Xenopus tropicalis: one gene and its partner. Each later gene encodes a partner of the first gene's protein in a complex. Links are inferred from orthologs where the notes say so. Each region holds a gene or a part of one and is shown in the gene's direction. Other genes may lie near its edges.

What was found. The genes of interacting proteins can lie anywhere in the genome.
Region 2: ik (region 1) and zmat2 share a complex: the UniProt entries of both Homo sapiens proteins name them as parts of the spliceosome B complex. The link is inferred for Xenopus tropicalis from reciprocal best matches to the Homo sapiens genes IK and ZMAT2.

Annotation. Positions count from the first base shown.
Region 1 is NC_030679.2:22,987,765-22,991,335, forward strand, and holds part of ik (protein Red), read left to right. Parts: intron 1-254; coding exon 255-333; intron 334-2,159; coding exon 2,160-2,237; intron 2,238-2,430; coding exon 2,431-2,488; intron 2,489-3,571. UniProt on the Homo sapiens protein: Involved in pre-mRNA splicing as a component of the spliceosome. Auxiliary spliceosomal protein that regulates selection of alternative splice sites in a small set of target pre-mRNA species. Required for normal mitotic cell cycle progression.
Region 2 is NC_030679.2:26,873,165-26,876,735, forward strand, and holds part of zmat2 (zinc finger matrin-type protein 2), read left to right. Parts: intron 1-1,205; coding exon 1,206-1,329; intron 1,330-3,571. UniProt on the Homo sapiens protein: Involved in pre-mRNA splicing as a component of the spliceosome.

The DNA of each region.
Region 1 (3,571 bases):
TGAGGTGAGAACCATGCAGGGGGCAGTTAATCACAGTACTGATACCATTTAAAGCTTACACAAGAGTAAGCCATCAAAGCAGCCAGACAGGTGGGGGGCCATACAGAGGGGGGTCGCAGGCCGCCAGTTGGACAGCGCTGCCTTACACAATTAGATCTGCTAATCTGGCAATCTTTGCCCAATTTGGCCGCCTAAAGTTTTTTAACATGTAACTCCTGAAACCTTGTATCTAAACTTTTGTCCATTCCTTACAGGACCTGGATCTACCAAGGACCTTCTAAAATCCATCAATGAGAATTTTGCTGGTGCTCCTGGATGGGAGGGAGTAGAATCATATCCTTTTCAAAAATGAACAGTATTTTGTTTGTATCATTGATATAATGAGCAGCCAATGAGTGTGACATGTTGTCCAATATAGGTTTTTCTATCCACTAAAAACACATTTATTTAATATTTGGTATTACTTTACACTATATCAGACTTTTTTTTATTCTCATGTGTGCAGACTCCGAGTGAGATGCTAATGAATAATAACTGGCGTATTCTTTACTATCATCCCTCTCCCAAGAACATCAAACTTCCTTTTGAGCAGTATTGTCCTATTAGAGTTATGGCATATAGTTTTGGGTGATTATTGCCAATGCAGGGTGTCCTGCAGTTCTTCCTGTTCACATCTGTGGAAATCATTCCACTGTTAAAAGAACAGTATACACCCCTTTATAACATGAGCATTAAACTAGCATATAATGCCAGTTCCTTTTTAGCACTTCCTGTCATTTCTGGTCCCAAAGAACTTCAAAGATGCTGAAAAAATTAAATATCTGTCCACTGAGAAGCCTAATGCCACAGCCTTAGCGTATGGCGTATATTTTAGGCAAGACGAAAAACGCTTGCCAAAAATAGCGCCATACGCTCCTACCTGTGCCTGCACCTGAATGAATGGAATACGCTCGGGTGCAGGCACATGTAGCCTATATCCGCCGAAAATATGAAGTCTCGTGTTTTTTGGCGGATATCGGCTACATGTGTCTGCACCCGAGCGTATTTCATTCATTCAGGTGCAGGCACAGGTAGGCTAAATTTTACAGTATGGGGGCGTATTCAGTACCAAACAAATTCAAAGATAAAGTCAATTAATCTATGACAAACCAAAAAAAATCAAAAAGAAAAATATAAAAATAAAATAAAGAATGGCTAAATCAATACATCTATAAACAGAAAAATTTACCAAGTGAAAAGGTGAGGTCCGGGTGTAAAGACCCCGGACCTGACACATGTGTTATAAGCCAAACGAAAATCAATGAAATCAATTTAGCAATCAGGATTCACTCACCTGGATCCCAAAATGGTTCGGGTGCTCAAAGCCCCGAACCCGCAGCCAAGGGAGTAGTTCCAATAGTAGACGAAAAAACGAGGTTCCAAGCACTCCGAACCTTCTAAGTTTAAAACATCATCTTTATTGATCTATCAAGACACAAAAGCCTAACGCGTTTCGTGCGCGTGCGCACTTAATCATAGGCCTATGATTAAGTGCACACGCGCACGAAACGCGTTAGGCTTTTGTGTCTTGATGGATCAATAAAGATGATGTTTTAAACTTAGAAGGTTCGGAGTGCTTGGAACCTCGTTTTTTCGTCTACTATTGGCGTATTCAGTAGCCTAAAGAAGGGAGGTTGATAGGGAGTTCTAAGCAATTGGCTTAATCTTCCCGTCTGCCACTGTTTAGGACAGTGGCAGACGGGGAGATTAGTCACCCCGCAACATATCTTCATTGCCAGGGGCGACTAATCTCAGCGCAATGCCATCCCACCAGCAAGAATGTAAATCGCCAGTGGGATAGCATACACGTTGCTACGTTTCCCAGAAGTCACCCAAAGGAGGAGGTCAATAAAAATAGCCTAACTTTTATATTAGTGCTTTATAATGGTAAAAAATTGGAAAATATTGTTTCTTTTTTTATTTAAACAATAGGCAGAAGGATTTCAGCAAAAGTCCTATTTAATTTTTAAACAAAGATGTTTTTAGGGGTATACTGTCCCTTTAATATTAGAAGCTCCCTGATTGTCATATACTGTCGTCACTTATGCCATTTTTTTATCTTGAATCTCATAATTTGACACACAAGAATAAGTTTTATTTGATCTTTAATAAATGGCCACATTGAAGAAACATGAAGACACGCAAGTGGGAGATTTCTTTGGAATGTGGAACAGCTACGCTGAATGTTACCCAGCCACGTAAGTTTCTGCTTATCTGGGATGAATGTCTGTGACTGTGGTTGCTGAGGTTCGTTACCTAGCACACCACCTTTGTCAAAACTAAATTTAATTTAACTTTAATGGGACAGCAACTGTTTGCTATGTGCTGTGGAAATCAATTAAGCATCGTGTAAGCAGTAGATAACTTGCACCCAATTCTTTCTCTGAACAGCATGGATGCCATGGCAGTGGACAGTGATGAGGAAGTGGATTATAGTAAAATGGACCAGGTAAATATTTTCTTATGCACGATTAAGATTATAAACTAGAACAAAGCGGCGGCTATTTGTGTTTGGCACATCATTTTGTATATATCTTTCTAAGAAACCCTTGCTTGGTAGAACATTGTAAACACATCAACCTAACCCTGTGCACTAGTCAACTTTATCTTTACTCATTTTATATTGTTAAGCCTCTTAAAGCCACTTTAAGGCATTTAGCAGATATACAAAAGTACAAGGTTAAGATATTAAAATGTGTATATTAGGACATTGTAAGAGATGAATTCCCTAGCTGTGCCTCAGAGCTGTTGTACTGTGATTGTGACTGGGAATGTGATCTGGGGCTCATGAACCTAAACTGTTGTGATGCTCTAAGTTAATAACATACAGAAAGAAAGTTATAATGAAGCAAAGAGAATGTTGTCTTACAGTGAAGCAAATTAATTCAGCTAGTTGTATAATTTCAGCTGTATGGTTTACACATTATTTGTCAGTGTATTGCAGGGCCATTATGGCTGTTGTACATAGTTTATCACTCAGGTATGCTTAGGTGAGGGTTAGTCTGCGTCTCTTACAGGGCCTATGCCTGCACTTAATCTACTCCTGCTGCCATCTCAGAAAAGTCCAGCCATTGACCCCACACATTTATAAATTTGTCTGGGCATCCTCTAGCCAAGTATTCTGCCTTGTTCAGAGGAAGGGTGTAATTAATATTTTTTTTCTCATTGGGCCAGGGTTGGAGGTCTAGTTGTTTTCCATGTTAAGAGGATTACTTTTTTGGCATAATACAGCATTTGCAAATAGAACAATCTCTGGTACGTCTTGACAGTGAGAGGCTTAGTATGGCCCATTAAGCATATGTTGGGGAGATCAAACCTAGTATGTATAAAATGTAATCCTTCCAGAAGCATTGTTTATGGACACATTGCCAAATAACATGAAACCGCATACCCACCTCTACTTCACATTTGTAGCAGGTATCTGGAGTAACTGGGTATATTTTAGCTAGTCCATAAGGTGTCCGGTATACTCTATGGAGAAATTTTATTTGGGTCAATCTATTTCTGTTTGAAATTGTGAGTTTGAGGACCA
Region 2 (3,571 bases), about 3.9 Mb from region 1:
GCCTTATCTGCCTGGCCCTTAGCGGTAAATACTTAAAGGGGTTGTTCACCTTTTTAGAATGTAGTAGAGAGTGCTACTCTGAAACAATCTGCATCTGGTCTTCATTTTTTATTTGTAGTTTTTGTAATTATTTAGCTTTATATCCAGCAACTCTCCAGTTTCAAATTCTAGCAGCTATATGGTTTCTAGGGTCCAAATAACCCTAGAAACCAGGCAGTTGTTCAAATGAGAAGCTGGGATACAAATAGGAGAGGGTCTGGATAGAAAGGTATGTAATAAAAAGTAACGCTAACCGTGAAACTAGCCTCAAAGAGCAATATTTTTTTGGCTGCTGGGCTAAGTGACCCCCATTTAAAAGCTATAAAGGGTCAGAAGAGGAAAGCAAATATTAAAAAAAAAATGAAGACCAAATGAAACGTCGCTGAAACTGTATCATACATACTAAAAGTTAACTTAAAATCCATCAGAGAAAAAGGGATTTAATTGGTGTCATATAAATTATCATGTCAGCAGTGCTAAGATTTGTAGTTTAACAAGGGCTTCAGGTTGTATATCCCTGGTATTCCGACGTCCTTTTAATCTTTGATAAACATAAGCATCTGTTTGCTATAATGGGTACTTAACCACAAGCAGTTAGGATCCATTTAGAGCTGTACTACTATGCTTTGCATTTTATTGGTCTCCAGGAGATCATTTGATTTCATAAAATGTCTAGCCTATCAAAGCTTTGACCGCAAAAAAAGCCTATAAGGCCTATGACAGATGGGGTGCTTTACTGTCTGAGAAATCTCTTCTCCTGAAGTGCCTGAAAATACCTGCCCCTCTGCAACTTGAATTGCCAGGTATTTTTGGGAGCTTTGTTACCTGTGGAGAGAAGATTTCCTGCAGGCGATTATTTGCCTTATCTGTCCGTGCTCTAAGGAAAATTTAAAGCAAAACAACAAGTATTGTATGAGTGGCAGTCTTGTACATGGCAGTGCCCACGGCCTGCAGAGAGAAGACATACAGTATTAAATCAAACAGCTCTGAACTGAATTTCCACACAATAAATAGAATACCAATAAGATAAAATAGGGCTGGCTCGGATCTTTGCACATGATTCTTAACAGGTTAATAGCTCAATGGATTTGTGTAGAAAATAAGCAAATTTCATTTATGCAGTGTAAATTATCCACATCAATAAATGCACATATATTGTGTTCTAGGCAAACCTTTACAGCCCATTAAGAGGGAATTACTCCGACACAGAGACTATAAGGTGGATCTGGAGTCCAAGCTGGGAAAGACCATTGTCATTACAAAGACCACTCCACAGTCTGAAATGGGAGGGTAAGTAGCATATAATGTGCTAAGGACAATGTTGACTCAACTATAAATGTAATCACCATTTAAAAGTTGAGGTACAACCAGGTTATGTCTCATTTGTGGTGATGGAGAGTTGGAGTCAACAAATGCACCAGTTTATAGAGCTACTCATGCGCACTCCTATACCTATGCTTGTGCTTTAATAAACTTTCAGTTTCTTTTTACTGATGCAATGTGAGTTGGAATGATATTATATTATACCCCCCCCCAGCAGCATATCAACAAGTGATGTGAGGCTAGACATGTTTTTACTTTCCCTAGTGCCCCCTTGTGATTTGTGCTCTGATGATGAACTTCAGTCACTCTTTAGGGTAAGAACACATGGAGCGAGTTCGTCTTCCATGATAGATCTCTGCTAACATCGGCAACTAACCACTCCGAAAAGGCTTTCCGCCAGCTGAAAGCCCTTTGCATTGCTTTGGTAATCCGAAGTTGCACTAAGTTTCCTCCTGCAGGCGACTTCGAAAAACAAAGCAATGCAAAGGGCTTTCCAGCAGCAACAATAGAAGTTGCTGGTGGAAAGCCTTTTCTGAGTTAGTTAGTCGCCCTAGATAGCAGCGATTTATTGCGGACGATTAACCGTGGGTTCTTACCGTTACTGCTGCTACTGATGCATAAGTAGAAGTGCCATAAAGGTGGACTTTCACTGCTCCATTTTTGTTACTCTGTGTGCTTTTTATTTAATATTATGTGTTTTAGCTGTGTTGGCCACTGGTATGCCAAGTACCCTGTGTATGGCCTAAATAAATGGGAAATATTACTTGCTTCACCTAAGGCGTTCTCCGTAGACACAGAGAGCTACAATATCTATGAGTGTGTATGTTGCTCTGTTCATCTGAAATCTGGTACATTGCTTAAAAGAATACCCAATTGTAAATGTCTCACACCAATATTTAATCAAAGCAAAGCTCTTATGGCTATGTGACCACTACTACACATTTTGGTACACTTCTTATACCCACAGGTCAATAAGGCAAAACCTCAGAAATCTTTATCAGCGATATCTCCTGTATCAATAATTCTCAAAGAAACAAGAAGATAGGTAGAAGAAGATAGATAGGGCTGCACAAAGTAAGAGCAACATAGACTACACTTGTTAGGTAATGTGGTCACATCAGTATTCTCATGTCGGATACCTTCTCTGTGGTGCCTCAGACCCTTATAATTCTCTGGTACAATGGAATCCACTTTTTCTCTCTTGGGGTGGGTAGGGGGAAACAACTGAGAAGGTGTCTGTGCTGTGAGAGTATTGGTGTTCTCTCTTTCAGTTTACTTAACAATGTACTGTTGTTATGGCATGGAAATTACTATTAATTTGTGGTGCTCTAACCATGCACTGCCTCCTGCTCTTGCTCCTTAGAGATTTATTAGTATGCAAAAAACTGCTATGGGAGGAAGTGAGGAGGAGTGCCCCTTGCATTGTTGTACGGTGGATATTCTGCAGATTTTTAAGAATTTTGCTGTAAGAACTGCACTAAAAGTGCAGTAAATGGTAATAGAACATTCTATGCTCGTTAATCTAAGTACCACTTACTATCTACAGAAGTAAATACATGGGAAAGAACTGATAATCGGAAAAAATCCCTTTTATGGATCTCGCTGCACATTGTGAAATCGTCTGGGCTTATCCCTTTATATAGAAATTGCCTTATATTGAAGATCCCATAAATGAACAGCAATGTATGTGCTATAAAACCAATGTAATGGCTTGTTCCATGACATTTCTGTTGATTTATGGGCCTCTGTTGGACAGCCGTTATAGATTGATTGTTTATTATGTACCGTATCATTAAATATCGATTGTGTCAGCCACAGAGTTTTGACAAGCCTTATGCAGGCTTGTGCTCAATAATTTGCATTCCTCTAGTAAAATCCTTTTAAATGACTCTAAAATGGAAATAAATAGAAATCGGAAGCTTAAGCTTGTTAAGTCCGTAAACCCTTGCATTGGAGAGCCCCAATTTTAGTCATGGCCTCTAGAATACAATAAAATTTTTGTTTGTGTAGAATGTGGATTAGACTGCTCAAGGCTTGTGTGCGCTGCATAGTTGGTCTTTAAAACCTGGTGCTTGACTCTACAGTTGACTCCATTACAGTGCATATATTTAAAAAAAATTTAGAGCAACAACTCTGGTTCAAAACTGGCAACAAATTTAACTGGCTCTATAATCATGAGCAAGAAATGCTGCCCATACTCATTTTAAAG